Linked DNA regions of Danio rerio. The protein of the gene in region 2 purifies or fractionates together with the protein of the main gene of each other region. This does not show direct contact. Links are inferred from orthologs where the notes say so. Each region holds a gene or a part of one and is shown on either strand. Other genes may lie near its edges. The genes, in order: paxip1, kdm6a and kmt2cb.

The links.
Region 1: the proteins of kdm6a (region 2) and paxip1 purify together in Homo sapiens (affinity purification with mass spectrometry; 6 studies listed by BioGRID and IntAct, with this or other methods). This does not show direct contact. The link is inferred for Danio rerio from reciprocal best matches to the Homo sapiens genes KDM6A and PAXIP1.
Region 3: the proteins of kdm6a (region 2) and kmt2cb purify together in Homo sapiens (affinity purification with mass spectrometry; 3 studies listed by BioGRID and IntAct, with this or other methods). This does not show direct contact. The link is inferred for Danio rerio from reciprocal best matches to the Homo sapiens genes KDM6A and KMT2C.

Annotation. Positions count from the first base shown.
Region 1 is NC_133177.1:32,870,972-32,877,478, forward strand, and holds part of paxip1 (PAX-interacting protein 1), read right to left. Parts: intron 4,048-6,507; coding exon 3,409-4,047; intron 2,203-3,408; coding exon 1,314-2,202; intron 1,148-1,313; coding exon 1,053-1,147; intron 1-1,052.
Region 2 is NC_133184.1:35,543,275-35,549,781, forward strand, and holds part of kdm6a (lysine-specific demethylase 6A), read left to right. Parts: intron 1-771; coding exon 772-920; intron 921-1,010; coding exon 1,011-1,125; exon of another isoform or gene 1,126-2,523; intron 2,524-3,361; exon of another isoform or gene 3,362-3,574; coding exon 3,575-3,762; intron 3,763-5,068; coding exon 5,069-5,210; intron 5,211-5,336; coding exon 5,337-5,463; intron 5,464-6,507. UniProt on the Homo sapiens protein: Histone demethylase that specifically demethylates 'Lys-27' of histone H3, thereby playing a central role in histone code. Demethylates trimethylated and dimethylated but not monomethylated H3 'Lys-27'.
Region 3 is NC_133177.1:13,280,778-13,287,284, reverse strand, and holds part of kmt2cb (histone-lysine N-methyltransferase 2C), read right to left. Parts: intron 4,115-6,507; 5' UTR 4,114-4,114; coding exon 3,932-4,113; intron 1-3,931. UniProt on the Homo sapiens protein: Histone methyltransferase that catalyzes methyl group transfer from S-adenosyl-L-methionine to the epsilon-amino group of 'Lys-4' of histone H3 (H3K4).

The DNA.
Region 1 (6,507 bases), on a different chromosome or scaffold from region 2:
AATAGACATCACAATGTTTAGCCGGCATCACGATCCTCCGCCCTACCCCCGTCAAAGCAGCAACCCACTTGCTAAAAAATACGCACAGCCCCGTTTACACTAATATGTCTTAGTTTTAAAATGGCATTTTAGAATGTAAACGATCCACATCCACATTAGCGTTTCACCTAGAATTTCTAAAAAAACCCTCCTTTCACACTATTCTGCTGAAAACGCACATCACGTGACCCCACACACACTGTCATGCTGCAGAGTATGCGAGGGTCTGAGCTCCAGCAGTCAGCGGGTGCTTCAAGCACAAAACCCCAGAGAGCAGTACACGTCAGACAGTTTATCAAGGATGTACCACTGGATCGAGGCTTACTGTAGTTTTAAATGTGATATTGAATTAATCTAGTCTCTATCTAACGACTCTTTTGAATCTATCTGGTAACGCGTCACAGCATCAGTACACCGCTTCAGTCTTTCGCTTTTATGCTTGTACTTAGTAATTTTCCGCAGAACTATTTATGCAAGAGTCCTGCAGAACAAGTGATTGACAGGTGGTAATTTGTGTATAACTTGTGTTTATTTATTTATGGTTTGGTTATGGTTAAAACAAAGACCATAAGGGTCAGGTAGTTAAAACGGTGGGCTACAAAGAACTAATTTGTTATAAATTTATTAATTATGCATAAAAAAAAAACTTCACCGCCGCCTACGACGATGATGCCATCCGTCGTCCATCGCTATGTTTCACATTAGACATCGTATGATGCCAAATTAGTTGACATTGCCCAACCCTAGATAAGAGAGTAAGGAATTCCTTGAATTACCATGTCAATTTTTTCTTTAATATTGTAAAATTATTGTATTATGGTTTTTATTTCTCTCACTTGCAATAACTCTGATTGAGAATTGCCAATAATAAAAAAAACTACAAAAAAATACTGTCTTTCCTGATGTTGAATTTAATCTAAAACATAACATGCTAGCTTAAAATATGGATTAAAATAAATCAATTTTCTAAAGGAATAATTTAGTATTTGTTGGAGTGTGGCGGAGTCGCTTACCCTTTTCCATGTGGCCAGTAACTGTTTATCAGCCATTTGTTCTGGATAGTCAGCAATGGCAAAAATACAGCCAACCAGGAATCCCTCTTCAGGTACTGAAAAGGTAATGATAAATGTCACCGTAGAATATTATAAATTAATACAACTCTATTCAGGAGAAGTCACTGTTTCCGTTTTTACTTTCTCACAAAGACAGACTATATGTATTGTGCTCACAAAACAATGTGCAGCTGGGTGATATCGTAAAGTAATTGCACTTACTGTCATGGCCAGGCTCGTGTCCAAAGAGCTGTGCAGATGTGATTGGAGGTTGAAGCATAGTCTGTGTCTGATGTGGATTAACCTGCTGGTTCTGATGTTGCAGAGGCTGCTGGTTCTGCAGATGTTGTTGCTGTTGCTGCTGCATTTGCTGCTGTTGTTGCAGCTGTTGCATGTGCTGCTGTTGGAGTTGTTGTTGTAGGAAATGCTGTTGCTGCTGCAAATGCTGTTGGTGCATCTGCTGCTGGTTTTGCTGCTGCTGCTGTTGTTGTTTTTGTTGTTGTTGTTGCTGCTGCTGCTGCTGCTGCTGTTGTTGTTGTTGCTGCTGCTGTTGTTGTTGTTGTTGCAACTGCAACTGAAGTCTGTGCTGCTGCTGTAACTGTAACTGTTGTTGCAGCACATGTTGCTGCTGATGCTGCAAGGGCAGCCTCGGAAGCTGTTGGGGTCGCATTTGTTGTGGGAATGCATGTTGTTGCTGCTGCTGTTGTTGCTGCTGCTGCTGCTGCTGTTGATGTTGGGAATACATCTGCTGATGCATCTGTTGCTGTAAGAACTGATGCGATTGTGGAGGCATTTGAGGAAAGCCTTGTTGGTTTTGCTGCTGCTGTTGTTGCTGTGGCGGCGGCTGATGCTGTTGTTGTTGTTGATGGTGGTGCATCTGCATGACCTGTGGCAGCATCATGGGATGTTGTTGTGCCATCTGATGCTGCTGCTGTTGCTGTTGTAGCTGATGTGACTGTTGCTGCTGCTGTTGTTGCAGTAACTGCTGCTGTGCTTCAGGAGGAAGCTGCTGTTGGGCTTTTAACAGAAGCTGGTTGGGAATACCAGACTGGCCCTGATTTCCCATATGATCCACTACACCTTTAGAGGATGCGGAAAAACTCTGGATGATCTGTAGAAAAATGCATATGTTTCATTAAACTTTAAAAATACATAAAGACACTTCTGCCTTTTGTACAAATTAAATTATAAAAATACTACAAAGATATTTAATTTTGATCCTTTATTAGTTTTTTTTTTATACGCATGAAGTTTCACTGTGTGCTTTTAGACAGAATTGACAAATTGCAGCCTGAATGAATGCAAATTGTCACCATTTACTCAACCTCGATTTTTTAAACTAATTATATATATTTTTGTTCAGTTAAACAAAAAATAAGATATTTTGATTAATGTTGGAAACCTGCAATCATTTATATACATTGTAGAAAAAACAAATACTATGAAAGTCTAGGGTTTCAGGTTTCCAACATCCTTTGACATATCTTCTTTTGTGTTCAACAGAACAAAAATACTTTAATAATAATTTAGAGTATTCCGTTGAAGCTGCACACCTTCTCGCGTCCACAGGACATATCTAGATTGATACACTGTGCAAAATATGGTCAAAGCATTAGGTCTAGGGCTGGGTGATTAATCGAAAATAACTGAAATAGTCATTCAGAATCTGTAATCGATCAAATTTTTCCATGTCAATTTTTTCAATTATTTTCTGTGCTGCATGTGGAGTCATGTAAGCTCACTCGCTTAAGGCTGATTTATACTTCTGCGTTGAATGCACGGATGTTGCACTACTTTTGCACTACTTTGATGATGATTGTAAGCTGCGCCAGAAAAGCCTTGAGACTGCATATTGTCCATTACATTAAGATTATTATTTATATTAAAATATTTGTTTACTGAAGACTCAAAAAATGCATGGTTTAAAATATTATTTACAGGATATACAAGAGGTACTTTATTTAAAAGAGAAACTACTTATTCTCTACTTTTAATATGAAAAACCTAAAGATTAAATTTGTTTCCAAAAGTTTTTTTCAACTTTGTTTTTCAAGAAAGTGACTGTTTAAGGCAATGTGTGTTTTAATTCCAGTTGTTCAACATTAAAGTAAATAATCATAGATAGTAAAGATCAAAAATCTCTCACTTGTAATATGTGAGCCTATTTACTGTACAAAATCTGTCAGTAAACTATGAGGTCAAAAAATTAATTAATAGTTCAATTAATTTAAATCACCCAGCCCTAATTAGGCCTTATAAATATAGGAGAAATTCTTCCTTTAGATATAAAAGTTACATTGAAAATTCTAATCCTTACATGTGCCACATTGGAGGGTCGAGAGGGCTGTTGGGTATCAGTGTTGTTAGTGATGTTTCTTAGCGTCCTGGCGGCTGAATTCCATTCACTCATGACCTCTAATCTTTCCACCCCCATAGGCACACCTCCACCTGCACCTGCACCGACCATTCGTGCATCAGGTGGCCCAAAGCTTCCTGGTACAGGTGGGACATTGGCACACAGATTGATCAAACCGGTTTCTTTGCCAGGCTGTAGTCGACGTTTAGCCGGACCAGGCGGAAGCACCTCAGCTGGGGTCCAATTGAGATTGCGATCCTCCTTCTCTGGGGATGAGTCATCAGAGTCATCGAACATCAACTCTGATTTGCGTTCATGTTTGGTTGAGGGTGAGCGCCTGCCTGCTGGGGATGCGTCTCGGGATGATGTAGGGCTGGAGCGTCGGCTGTGAGGCGAGCGTCTGTCACTATAGCTACCTTCAGATCGTGAGCTCCTCTCGTTTTCATACTCACTGCCCTCCTCTTCCGGTGCATCATATAATGTGAGTCGTGGGTGATATAGCATCTCATCTTTCCTGTTCTTTTCTTTTACAGAGTCCAAAATCCATTCTGGAGTTACTATCTTTATGTTATTATGCCGCAAAGCACACTCGTACTTGGCCTGGAAAATACAGAAAAAAACAAACAAATGAAAAACAAATTACAGTAGAGCTGCATGACTGATCGAAATGAAACAGAAATTGCACACTGTCTCGGTGCGATTATCAAATCACAAGCTGTAATTTAATTAAATAAATATATTTCACAATACATGCTCCTCCACAGAAACTTAATTTCTGCATGCGCCAAAAAATTGTGTTGCTTAGAATAGGTGCATTTGGGAATATAACATACGTCAACCATCTTCCCAAGCATGTAATTTAAAAGGCTTTGTTAACCAAAAAGCTGCTTTGATCAAATCCTGCAGTTTTTCAACAAAATAAGATTAAAATATGAATATTATAATATTTGTTTTTTGTTCCAAACGCTATATGTACTTATTTACTTATGTGCCATTTAAATACTTGGTAATAACAAAAAAAGTTTTATAAATGCATGCAACATAACATAAGTTAATATTACTCCAGGGTTTTTCCTACATTTTTGGATGTACTTAAGCAAAGTGTATTTATATAGCGCATTTTATCTTGTAAGGCCATCATACCCGTCAACATTAGGATGTAAAAATAAGGGATATGCCCACCATAAGGGATTTAGGGTTAGTGTTACGGTTAACAATCATGAGGGGGTGTCTCTCTCTCCACACCACCACCAGTGTGCAGCATCCACTTGGATGATGCGACGACAGCCACAGGACAATGACGCCAGTGCGCTCACCACACACCGGCTATACATGGAGTGGAGAGATAGTAATAGAGACAATTCAGTGCATGGGGAGCAGGCACATGCACACATAGGGCTCAACCTGTGCAGTGCACATGTCCTTTTTAGTCTTGGATAGAAAGTGCCCTTCTAAAATGATCAAAAGTGCCCCCCCACCGCCCTTCAGAGAGAGAGAGAGAGAGAGAGAGAGAGAGAGTTTTAATTTTATTGCCATTTCAGCTTCTATGGCTATGTCATGGCAAAAAAAAAACAGATCAAGGTTACCACATTTTATGAATACCACTTTTCTATATTCTTAAAAAAAGTCCTAAAAAAAATTAAGTCATTAACAGAAATAAATAATACACAAGGTAAAATACATAAATAATAATAAAAATGATAATATATATGATAAAAATCTAAAACAGTTTTTTACGGTTTCCTTTTGATAAAAATTCTACAATTTTAGAAGGATTAACATTTTTAAAAATTTCACTTAGAGTCTCTCCAGTTAAAAATTGTTGTCTAAGAACATTAAAAATGGGGCATTCCACAAGAATATGTTTAACAGTTTGTTTTTTGTTGCAATAAAGGCATTATGGGGGTTCTTCTCCTTTGAGTAAATGTTCATGCGTGAGTCTTGTGCGTCCAATGCGGCATCTTCTATACACAATATCATCGTGTCTTGACTTAAAAAAAAAGTGATTTTTTTCCTATTTCTTGTTGAATTTAAAAAAAAGTTTATTTTCTGGGCACTGATTCCCGCGCGCGACAACACCGCTCCTGAGTACGCGTGTTCCCTACCACCCCGCGCTTAACAGTACGCGCGTGACAAAACCACTCTTCAGTATGCACCCGGCGGTGGCGGCGACGACGACGACGACAACGACGACGACGACAACAACAACCCCCACCTGCTCTTCAAAAATTTTATCCTGCACATGCCCTTTGGACAGTCTCTGCACGAGCATGATGGGGAGGATTGGGAGGCTATGATCAGTGAGGGCCGATGGAGGACACCGAGGTTACAACCCTACTCTTTACGAGAAGTGCTATGGGATTTTTAATGACCACAGAGACTCAGGACCTCGGTTTTATGTCTCAACCGAAAGACGGCGCTCACTGACAGTATAGTGTCCCCTTTACTTTTACTGGGGCATTAGGACTCACAGACCACAGGTCAAGCACCCCCTGCTAGCCTTACGAACACCACTTTCAACAGCAACCTAGTGGCCGGAAAACAGCTTTTTTTGTCCCACCAAAGCCTTAATTGATTAGAAATTGTGTAATTGTGTTGAATATATAATAATATTTAAACAGACCTGTCTCCAAAAGCAAATGCATGACCATCATTTTTGTGAGGTAAGCTTATTAACCAATAAAGTGAGTAAGGGTGTCACGATCTCGATTTTAAATCGAAATCGATCGAAATTTATGCTCAATTTCGATTATCGAATCATAAAATAGAATCGTCGATGCTGCCACGCCCCCATGTCAAGTCAGCTTGGCTTGCCAAGCGGGAAAAAAACACGCTTGTTAAAGAGCTTGTTAAACGGCAGACGCAGGAGACCTGTCGACAGAGCTTAAACCCTCTCCTCTTTCAATGAAGTCGCCGGTGTGGAAGCATTTTGGTTTCCAGTGAGTTATGTTGATAACGTTCGTGTTGTCGACAAAAAAAAAAAAAAAAAAGTTTTGCAAGCTCTGCAACGCACGTATTAGGGTTCGTCCAATAGACAACACCGGCATCGCGATCCTCTGC
Region 2 (6,507 bases):
TTGAGAAATAGAAAACAAAATAGGAAATTTGTCGGTCTGTGATGCATTTCATGTAATATTGCATCTTTAAATAAAAATCCAGATAAAGAACCCAACATTTTTACAGCGTGATCAGAAGGTATTGGCAAATTATTTTCACATTGGCTTGTTTGGGAGCAGAGTTATTCTCAACCTATTTTTTGTTATATATTTTTTTACTGAACTATTAATTAAAGTAATTTCATGGGTATATTAGAGTTGTATTTTCAAACTTTAAAGTGTTGCTCCTATAAACCATTGTGTGGTCCCCAATTTACATTTAAGAACATGTTGGCTTATTCCCTTAAAAAATGTCATTCTTGGTGTTAAAAAAAACCTGCAGCTTGTTCTAGGCATTGACGGTCACAAAACAAAATCAGAAATGTTATCTGGCATAAAAAATTGTAATCTTTTGAACACTTAATTTTCTAATGGATCATTTTTCATTATAGAAGCAATAAACCACTCAAGTGCATGATTTACAGTGAATTATTTTTTTATACCATGGTGAAAAGGGCACTCTACTTCATGATGTGCTTAATAGCACTGTTTAGCAGTAATAAAATCACTCTAATGCATGCCTCATGCGGTTTAGTGCTTCATCAGGATGCTCTTGAGAGTTTCATTCAAGTCTGAAGCAGGTTTGCAAAGTAAATGTCAGTCTTCAGACCTCTTGCAGTGAACAGACAGAGTTGATGGAACAGGAAGGCATGTTAGGTCGTCTCATCTGACCTCCGTCCTGTGGCTTTGCAGGTGGAAGCTGCAGCTGGCTGAGTTGAGTAAACTGCCTGCCTTCGCACGGGTGGTGTCTGCAGGGAATCTGCTCAGTCATGTGGGCCACACAATTCTCGGCATGAACACAGTCCAGCTCTATATGAAGGTCCCGGGCAGCAGGACACCAGGTCAGCTTTTTGGCTCGCAAGCACTGACACGTGCTCTACTAGCGACATTAATGAAACTCAAAAAAAAAAAAATGTCTTTAATCTTTTCAGGTCATCAAGAAAACAACAACTTCTGCTCTGTGAACATAAACATTGGCCCTGGAGATTGTGAATGGTTTGCCGTTCCTGAGCCGTACTGGGGTGTCATGAATGATTTCTGTGAAAAGTAAGCAGTCTGCCTGTCTATTTGATACTTCTAAAACACCGTCAATTTAATATCAAATATTTTTTTCTCAGAAATATCAATACCAATAAAGAATCCTCAATAGGAATGATTAAAATGTATTAGTTTAGAAAAAGAAAACATAGAAATAGAAGTTGTTTAAACTTGCAATTTTGTATATTGCGTCTTTTTTTGTTTCAAATGTACTGACAATTGTCACTTTAGTTGTTGTTTTTTTAAAGCTGAGTTTACAAATGACATGGTTTTTGTTTGTCTGTTATTTTCTCAGATATTATTGTATTTTCAAACTCATTAGAGGCAAAGGGACAGATTACCTAACAGCTTGCACCAACACAAATTACATTTTCCCCCCATTAAAGATGACTCTGAGCTCCAGAGAACAGTGCACATCGGACAGTTTATCAAGGATGTGAAAATAAATGTGATATGTGATATTTAATTCATCTGGTCTCTATCTAACGTCTTGTAAGTTACTTAGTAATTTTAGTGAAAACCTCAGGTACTGTTGGTTGTGCACCTTTTTTACCAACGAACCTCCTGCAGAAAAAGTGATTGACGGGGTAATTTGTGTGCAACTTATCTTTATTCGTTTATAATTTGTTTATAGGTAAAATAAAGACCATGCGGGTCAGGTAGTTGAAACGGTAGGCTACGAATAAATAATTTGTTAAGAATAAATTAATTATTCATAAATAATGAATTCACCTCCGCCAATGACATCGATGCCATCGTCCATCACAATGTTTCACATTAGACATCGTACGATACCAAATTGATCGACATCGCCCAACCCTAGGTGAAGTGTCTCTTTAAATTTATATTACTATTTTTTCTTTTTTGAGTTCTGTCAATACATCACATGGTTAGTAATTTAATCAATGTATCGATCTACATGAGCTGTATACACACAGACATTAAATTTCAGCCAGCCAGCCCCAAGGCGTCCGGTAAATTGTCATGCCATACAAAATCGCTGTTTGTTTTTTGTGTGTGTTTTGTAATTTCTTTAAACACGGATATCACTAACTGGCTGACATACGATATAAAGTGGGTATCAGACCAAACAAGAAGCACTGCATTAATTATATCTTTTCATGTCTTTAAAATATGGAAATTCATTTTACTCCAGTATTTTCAAATGTGTTTCTGTGCTAACCTGCGCCTAATGACTGCACATGCGTTTAAACAGTCTTTCGCCTCTTTTACTCTTTAACAACTAAATAAATGCTCAAGTCTATTTAACTGATTATATGTGAATTGCATTACAACATCAATGCTGTAAAAGGAACTTGATGAAATTGAAAATATTCACATAAACCTTTCACCAGAAGTTCATCATTGGCTGAAAAACACTAGCTGTGCAGATACATTAATACAGGGGTCTCAAACTCAATTTAACTGGGGGCCGCAGGAGGCAAAGTCTGGGTGAGGCTGGGCTGCATAAGGGATTTCACAAAAAAAGTCCTCAAATGTCATTATTAACAGTTTTAATTATTTCTTCTGAACATGAAGTGTCCTGAACATTAATAACACATTGAGTGAAGATTATGAACAGTTCTTCTGAACATGGCATCTTTTGCCTATTTCTTGCTGCCAGAGACTTGACAGCGCTTCTTCTCACAAATCTGAACCACATCTGGCTTTAGAGCGGAAGCAGTTGAGACCCTCAGTATGGCTTGAAGATGATCATCATTAAGTCTAGACCTGTACTTTGACTTATTGAAGTCCTGGGAAAAAAGTGGGGGAACTCACTCAAAACTTCCATTCCCTCACCTAAAAAAAAGGTGTATATATTTATAAATAAAACACCCCCACCCCACTCCAGTCACATCAGTCTGTACCAGTCTGTATCTACCTATGATATATATAAGATGCAGGGCAGGCACATGCACACATAGGGCTCAACCTGTGCAGAGCACATGCCCTTTTTAGTCTTGCATAGAAAGTGCCCCCGCGACGCGACACACCCTCGGTCCCGCCCTTCAGTAGGCGCGCGATAACACCGCTCTTGAGTACACGCGCGACAACACAGCTGATGAGAACGCGCGCGACAACACGGCGGGCGGGGAATGCCAGTGACCGCTGTGTACGGATAGAATCAGCGGAGCGGGGAGCGCTCTCTCTCCCCACTCCGCTGATTCTGTCAGTGTACATCGGTTGGCGCGGGCCACAAAATATTGCACTGAGGGCCGCGAGTTTGAGACCCTTGCATTAATAGATTATTGATTTATCTTTACATCCCTTGCAGGTATTTTACAGATGTTCATGTCCAGTAGTGTACTTTTTTATTCCAACCGTAAACAAAGAAGAGTTGTTCTTTTTTATTTTCCAATTGTAAACAACAACCTTTGTCAGTTTTGACAACAGAATTAATAGTTTAAAAGTGAGGTTGTGAGATGCTCATGCTGATTTTCATGTATTCTTTATGCAGGAATAATATTAATTATCTAATGGGATCTTGGTGGCCAAATCTTGAGGACTTGTATGAGGCAAATGTTCCAGTGTATCGCTTTATCCAGCGACCAGGTGATCTGGTCTGGCTCAATACAGGGACTGTGCATTGGGTTCAGGCTATTGGCTGGTGCAACAACATTGCCTGGAACGTAGGACCACTCACTGGTAAATATATCAAGATTTGTATCATTGCTGTTGGACCAACAGATCTAGAATCTGGTGAGCTGCCTAAGACCTGTTGTTCCTACATAAGCTGTTGTATTTTACGGCATCTGAACGAGGGGTGGTCAAACTTGGTCCTGGACAGCTGATGTCCTGCAGATTTTAGCTTCAACGTTCCTCAACACACCTGCAAGGATGTTTCTGGAAAGCCTAGTAAGAGCTTGATTAGCTAGCCCAGGTCTGTCAGATTGGGGTAGGAAGTACCGAGTTTGGACACCCCTGGTCTGAACCATCATGCCATGTCTGGAGTAAGGGTGTTTTTTTTTTATGAGTTTTTAAATAATTATTATAATAATTTTTTTTTATAAAAACTAATTGGCAGTCTAATCACAAAAACAAAGTACTGTACTTTACTGTACTGAACCACATCAATATAAAGCCAAACATTTATTATAAGTTATTTATTATAATTCTTACAGCCATCTTTTCTCTTGCTTTTGTCTGCCGCCTTAAATATATATTTTTTCATTTTTTCAAGTTGAAGGATTGCAGACTGTTCAACCTTACAATCTGGCTAACTAGGAAGAATAATTTTTCTAATTGCATTTTGTCATAGCCTTCAGGTCTGCCAGTGCGCCTTAACTTCTGCCTATAATACTGTCTATTTTCCATTTAATAAAAGCCCATCTGTCAAAACAAAACAAAAACAGCTGCTATTTTATTAAGCAGCTTGGCTTTGCGATACTTGAATTTGATGTTTTTCTTTGTGTCTTTTACATCCTTTATTCTGCAAAACTCAAGGTTATTCATTCATTTTATGTCTTTTATAATTTTTGTAGTTTTTTTAATTGTTCAACATTGCATTGTTAAGATGGCCACTCATGTCATCAAATAAAAATAAAACACAAATTAACGTGTAGCTTATTTTGTCTCTCTGTGATATAAAATAAATATCTTAAAGATTAAAGTTAAGAAATGTATTGAGTTAACTAATAGTAACTAAAACTAGCTAATAGTTTTATGTAGTTAATTAAACATTAGAACACAGTATTGCATTTTTCCCCACCGACAAAAATAGCCTAAACCAGCATAGGTAAATAACAGAAGCACACATGAAGCAAAATATAATTGTCGTCATTATAAAAAAAAGATATATTAAAGAATATTGCATAATTGTTTTTCTTTTTTTCCATGTACTCGAACTGGAGTTGAACGATAAACATTGTGAAAGGCACTATACAAAAACTTTTAATTTAAATGCGGCTCATCTATTTTGCTGTAGTTTCTAATCGTGTTGGTCCTTCCTCAGTGCATCAGTACAAGCTAGCGGTGGAGCGCTATGAGTGGAACAAACTCCAGAGTGTCAAATCCATCGTTCCCATGATTCACCTCTCCTGGAATATGGCCAGAAACATCAAAGTGTCAGACCACAAGCTCTTTGAGATGATCAAGTGAGTCTGCGGCACCACATTTGCCATTTGATCAGTCACAGTGATGCAGTATGCCGTGACTGAAATTTCAAGCAGTTTATTGGAAGTTTTAAATAAGGTATGCATGCTCCTCCTCTTCCCGTTCAGGTACTGTTTATTGAGGACACTAAAGCAGTGTCAGATGCTGAGGGAGGCTCTCATAGCTGCTGGAAAAGAGCTTGTTTGGCATGGAAGGACCAAGGACGAACCTGCTCACTACTGTAGCATCTGTGAGGTGTGCATTTTCATTTCTTTTCCAGATTTAAATGTCTAGTCATGAAAAGTTTTGAATAATATGCCAAGTTGGACTGAGTTGTCTTGCTAAGGAGAACACAATTCAGTATTGTTAACTGTCTGTGTAGCTGGTTTTCTGTTCAGACAGTGTTACAAGTTCAACTACCAAATTGAGTCTCTCTTCTGTCTTATTGTACTCGAGTGGATAAAACGAATTGTATTTTTTTATTTGGGGGTGTCTAATCTTAACAATTTTGTAAACTTAATTTTGTAAACTTAAAGTTTTGTAAATCTATAATTAAAACCTAATAAGTATTTAATTCAACTGCTAATTAATTATTTTAGCTTGTTTGTATTTATGGTATGTTTGCTTTTCTTTTCTTTTTTGCATTTCCACAAACTTTCTAGCACCCCCTTGTGGCACCCTTGAGGTTTTTTATGAAATGCCTGATTTTTGAAATACTTCTGGCCCCCAACAAGATCCACTCATAGTTATGCATTTGGCCATGAGATTTGAATTTAATCATATCATAGACAAATGTTACTCTCAGGGGTCTCATTATCAAATATCATGATATTTCATAACAGTTAACCCTGTAAAAAAATCACCAAAATTAACCAAAAAGAAAAATACTTGAAATTGCTCTTTAAATGTATTGCGTAAAATTATATTTTTTACATTTATTTGCATGAATTGTTTTAGCAGATGCTTTTATCCAAAGCAGCTTACTGGTGAGGATAAAATGAAGCATTTTGAATCATCAGAGAGTAGCAGTATGCTATAAAATGCTGACAAGTCTAAGTTTGATTAAAAAAATATTGTAAAGTTAGTAGTTTTAAAGATTTTGTTTTTCTTTTTTTCTTTTTTTTTGTTTCTTCAATCATACAGAGGGGATTGTGTCCTAAAGATGGTTTGTCAAGCCCACTCACCTGTGTAAAGCACACTCAGAATTTAACTATTTCCATAAAGTATAGAAACCAGCATTATTTTATTTTCTATTGTCATTTGTTAGTTTAAAATAAAGTTAAAGTCATGGCTATGATA
Region 3 (6,507 bases), on a different chromosome or scaffold from region 2:
ACAGCAGTGAGGGGCGTGGTAGCTGAAAGCCGATTCACCCTGATTTGACTGAACTCTTTGAATTTCTAGTTTACATGATCCTAGAGATCTGAGTGATCTGTTATGTTTGTATTACGTGAGCATATCTGTAATGTATTGAGGTCCTAAGCCATTTAGTGATTTATAGACCAGTAATGATATTTTAAAATCTATTCTGAATGTAATTGGAAGCCATGTGCTCTGATTTCCTGTTTCTGGTCAGAATCCTGGCCGCAGCATTCTGGATGAGCTGTAACTGTTTGACTGCCTTTTTAGGAAGGCCTGTGAGGAGGCGTTACAGTAAACCACCCTGCTGCTGATAAAAGCATGAACAAATTTCTCTAATGCCGAGTTCAGACTGAATGTTTTTTAAAGTAGTCATGTCACAGATGTTTTCACACTGCATGACTCTGGGCTAGCGTTTTGTCGCTGCTTTGTTTACACAGCAAGATGGATCAGCGACAGGGGCTTTCACATTGCATGACTTTACAATAGGAAGAATCTTTGTCAACTTTGTCCAAACTATGTCTCAAAGCCAAAAACACGTAGTATATCTTTTGTTATTAACTAAATAATGAGAAGGAAGCCTTTAATGAGGTAGAAAATGTAGATATTTGCTAACTTAGTTTTTAGGGAATTAGCAATTTCTCCACAAGTTTTTTAACTTTCTGTATGAAACGTTAAACAGACACAGGTGCTCCTGTCAAACTAGTTTTTCCTCCATTTATTGGGTCCAAATAAACTGAAAAGGAGCGCTTTTAACTTCTCCCCCAGCCTCTCGCTGGCCTCCAGGTACACACACACACACACTAGTCCCGTAAATGCTGCTCTCTCATTGGCTGTAGGTGATCGCTGATGTTCTTTTCAGTCAAAACTCCTTTCACACGAAATGATTTGAATCACCAACAGTTCCAAATATTTAGCATGCTAAATATCTCACAGGCATCGGCGACTCATGGGCGATTCTCTCAGATGGCGTCTTTGATAGTTAATACTTTGTGCTTGTCACTCACGTGCAAAAGCACTGATTTGCCTGTGATTTCAGGCATTTGTCACCGATTTCTCAAAACCTGTTGGCGGGTCAAAATTCAGGGCTAAAATCATGCAGTCTGAACTCGGCATAAGTCTTCGCTGGAAACAAAGCATCTAATTCATGCAATGTTTTTGAGATGATAGTATGCTGATTTACTTACTGCTTTGACATGACTACTGAAACTCAGATCTGACTCCAGAGTCACACCAAGATTCTTGAGCTTATTTTTTGTTGTTTGACCCTTAGTGCCAAGGTACGCATTCACCTTGATCATACAATTAATATTCTAAATAAACAACAGAAATTTGTCTTAAATGTAACTGTAACACAAAGACACAACTGGAGTAATATGCTAAGATTATTTAAGAAGTCCTTTGCAGGAATAGCTTATTAATTTAATTCAGTTGGCATTTCTGTGTGGAGTTTGCATGTTCTCCCCATGTTGGCATGCGTTTCCTCTAGGTGCTCCGGTTTCCCCCCACAAGTCCTAAGGCCATGCGCTATAGGGGAATCGAATAAACTAAACTGGCTGTAGTGTATGAACGTGAATGAGTGTGTATGGATGTTTCCCAGTACTGGCATGCAGATCAGTGGTGACCCCTGATTAAATAAAGAGACTAATGCAGAGTTCAGACTGCATGATTTTCAAAGTAGTTGTGTCACAGATGTTTTCACACTGCATAACTGGGCTAGTTATGACTATCTGGGCTAGCGTTTTGTCGCCGTTTTGTTTACACTGCAAGATGGATCGGCGACAGGGACTTTCACATTGCATAACTTTATTATAGGAAGAATCGACGACAACTTCGTCCAAACTACGTCTCACAGCCAAAAACACCTCCTGAGTCCTGTCAAACCTCCACTAGTTTTTCCTCCATTTCGTGGGTCCAAATAAACTGAAAAAAAGAGCGATTTTAACTTCTCCCCCAGCCTCCCGCTGGCCTGCAGCAGGTATACACACACGCACACACAAGTGAATGCCGCTCTCTCATTGGCTGTAGGCGATCGCTGATGTTATTTTCAGTCAAAACTCAATTCACACGGCATGATTTGAATCGCCGACAGCTCCAGATATTTAGCATGTCAAATATCTCGCAGGCATCGGCGACTCATGGCCGATTCTCTCAGATCGCGTCTTTGATAGTTCATACTGTTTTATTGTCACTCACGTGCACGAGCACCAATTGGCCAGTGATTTCAGGCGTTTGTCGGCAATTTCTCAAAACCTGTCTGCGAGCCAAAATCAGGGCTAAAATCACGCAGTCTGAACTAGGCATAAGCCGAAAAGAAAATGAGTAAATGAATGAGAATTATCTGTCTTTTAGACCCGACTCATAATTTTTTTAAGGCCTTATCCTACCTCCCTGACTTTACATCCCTCCTTTCTGTTTCATAGTATGTTTAGTTAAAATAAGATCATGTTTCATGAGCGCTGCATATTTTTTTTGACGTGCATGTTAACAACTGGGATTCCTCTTTTGTCTTCAGATGTGCTGCTGAGGTTTCTCAGTCCCACAGTTGCAAAAACGTCTATCTAAATATTCTGAATGTACAATTGCTTTATTTAGATAATAGAATGTCCAAAACAAATGTAATATGTTTCTTATATTTACACTAGCATTGGAATTTATTGTGATGCGAAAGGGCGCCACCTGAAATCTTTGTATCACTCAGATCTCTAGGATCAAATAAACTAGAAACTCCAAGAGTTCTAGTCAAATCAGGGTGAATCAGCTTTCAGCTACTACGCCCCTTACTGCTGTAATCAGCTTCTAGAAATGATCAGATGTGCACCAACATTATGCACATTCAAATCAAGACTAAAAGCATATCTGTTTAGCTGTGCCTTTACTGGATGAGCACTGTGCTTCATCAGACAGATTGCACTATTATGTTTTTCTCTTCTATTTCATTGTTTTATAACACGTTTTATCTCTTTTTGATTTTTTTTATCATTTTTATTATTTGTTTTTATTTTTCTTATACTTGCTTCTTTTATTTCTGTTTATGTAAAGCACTTTAAAATCCCACTGTGTATGAAATGTGCTATATAAATAAACTTGCCTTGCCTTCTGAAGCAGCAGACGACATCATCCCACTCATCCACGGATTACCGTTTGTTTATTTGTTTTTTTATTGTGGACATTCCGCATAGTTCGGTTGCGCAATTCTGATTGGGTATTAAAGTGTGCTCACTATTGGCTGACAAGACTGTCCTACACAGACGGCCGTAACGCATTTGCTCAGGGCGGGGGAGATTATATAAAACATATATATATATATATATTCATATTGCAGCCTCTTGCGATTAGCTAATCGCAATGTTGCAAAACGCAATTGCTATTCCATTTCGATTAATCGCACAGCCATAAGCTGAAGTAAACAAAAAAGCAGTGTATTTGATAAAGTTTATACTAATGCAGTTTAGTTTATAGTTTTGTATTTTTGAGTCTTTTTATTTTTCATTTATCAGTGTATATTTGTATTAGTTTTTACAAAAGTTTTGTTTGTTTGTTTTTTGGCACAAAAATAACTCCATAGGTTTTGATCCACTTCATGTGTAAAAACTGAAACAATGTCCCAGGGGTGTCATCTTAAAAGCTGCCATGAGAAAAAAAAACTGCATGCGCAGGAAAACCAAAACACATGCTACAGCGACAATGGATGCCTACATGGATGAGACAGATAGAGAGATATTTGTACAACAGCAGCCTAAAATACAAAAATTTTGCCAAAAACAATGTGCATATGTTGACCACCTGTGTAAGCGTATTATGTATTCTGTCTTCTACAACCAATAATCAACATTAGTTTTGAAGATATGTAGATTGATATTCAAATCAGTTACAATACCAATTGCAAAAATTTAAGCTAACTTACTTTTTTCTCTGTCTGGGCACAGAGGGAATTGATGTTGCTGTGGATAAGGCGTCCTTACGAGGGCGGCCTCTAGGCCGCTTATCTGTGGGGGTTGGACTTCCAGTGGGAGTGGCCCCAGAGCTGCAAGGAGGTGGAGAGGGTCCTTTGTCAGAGGGGTCCAGACTTTTCTCCTCTGATGACATTCTGTTGATAAAAAGGTAACACGTAATATTTTATTATAACAGATATGCAAAATAAGTGTCCGCTATGATGTAGTCTGATGTACAATATTTAATTAGTCAAAGCTAATTATTAGGTTTTTGAGAAGGCTTTCATCACAGTTTTTTTTCAGCAGATTTAGACCTTTACAACTTTCCAATAACAGGGTTCAACGCTATGGATTTTTTTTACTGATCCGATCGGGCAAGTGGTTCAGATTTTTACTTGCCCTGCCAAAATTTTCACTGGCCCCACCAAAAAAAAAGGAAGTTAATAGCAATTTTTTGCCACATTTTAAATAATGTGTCAAAAATAAAGTCTGTGAATCTAGAATTTTAATATTTAAAATAAATTGTAAATAAAAGTGTTATGCAAACAAAAAGAGCAGTACAGAAAATGTTAAAAAAAGGTGGCTGACTTGTCAAACTGGCCGAAACTGTGCAAAATATCACTTCATTTTTATTTTGTTCTGTTAGTCAGACGTAAATGTCTACTTCCAAGATGTTAGAAACAGACATTTTCTTTTAGCCTTATAATTTGATGTTGCCTCCATGTTGCCGTTTCTTCGCTGGACTGGTTTTTACCAGGTTACAGAAAAAAATATCATGGTCAATCAAATAAGAGGAACTGGAAAGCAATATGGTGTTTACGACATAACAGGGAAGGTAGTGTTTAAAAACTTAAAAGCACAAACTCAATTGACAAATTAAATGTTAGTAAACAGACAAATTAAATGTTAGTGACAAGGCAACACTGTCCCAATCGGGCCAGTAATGATCCGGTCTACTGTCCCAAGTGTCTCTCAAGCTGGCCCTGGGCCACTGGGCAGTCCTTATTGTTGAGCCTTAAATAAGCTATTTTTTGAATAAGCTAACTACAACTTTATTAAAAACCTAGATATTCCAGAAGAAAATGATTCCCGGGTTCAATACTAAAAAAAGCATTTTAAAAAACTAATATAACTTATGCATAGTGTGAAGATCAACTCTGAAATAAAACATAATTCCATGAAAATGTGTCAAAAATGTCATATTTAGTGTGCTAAAAAAATAATGTATCAGTTTATGTAATGTCAGCTAAAAATTATCCATCCGTTTTTTTATTATCATGTTTGAATTGTATTAGCACAGTACCAACTACATGATGGAAATGAATACTCCAAATACAACACATTTGACAAGTTGACAGAGAATGTTTTAGTTGTGTTGCATTATTCTTTCTAAATGTAGTGCATATTATGGTCACTGCTCTCCTGGATCCCCCATGCTGACCCTTGTGTTTGCTCTGTGTGGTGCTTCTGCCAACCTGTCCACTTAGCTGACAAGGCATATTGCCAATGGGATGCTGTCTTTTCCGGGAACTACGTGGGATCCCTCCCTGGGCTGCGATCATTGTATCCTGCCTTGAGTAAACAATTACACCTCACTCACATGCTCGAGTCAAGCCTTTAATGACACTGTGTACATTACCTTTAGCTTTTACAAACACATTGTTTGTGATAGTCATGAAAGAGCTTGGAAAGTGCATTTTTTTGTTTCATGTTGACATATTTCCTATTGAAAAAGGAAGCTGGGGAAGCACAGACGGATGAAACTGCTTAAATTTTCAAACAACCAGTTGGCTTTATTTTATGGAATAACTAAAAAGCATATTTAGCAATGTGTTATCACTACTCAAAGGTATAAAAAAAATAAAAAAATAAAAGTGGACTGAAAAGACGGAAACGGAAGTATTTTTATGCATGTTAAATATTCTTCGTGGAACCACAGATACATAGAACCATAATGGTTGAAGGACTTTATCATTCTAGAGCACATTTGATTAAACAAACATACAAGCACCCTTGAGTGCAAGATAATTCATTAATATGTTGAATGATTTCCAGAGTGTAAAAAGACTGACGTGTGTATGCATCTGTTAAATGTATATTCTGAGATATAATTAAAAAAGTAATAAAAAAAAATCTCTATTTTTTAATTCAAAGTGCTCCTTACATAAATACAAACAAATTGCACAGACTTGTAAATGTCATTGTTCAAACTGTCATTTTCAAGATTGACCTAACAATTTACCATGCATCAATCTTGCAGCTGAATTGAATTTCCAAAAGGCTGTATAATCAATCACTTTATGATTTTGGTTACATTTGAGACATGAAGTTTGCAAAACTGGATAATTTTGTGCACCTATATTCATTTTAAAATGAACAGTTATTGTCCAGTTTTAATAACACTGATAATGAACCGATTTTTCTGACACATTACCAGCTAACGCACTCTCATTTTTTTTGAACACTAACTGAATTAATAGTTGTGTAAACACTTAATATTGTTGTTATTTTGTATCCAAACTCCCCATTTGGTTCTATAAACATCTAC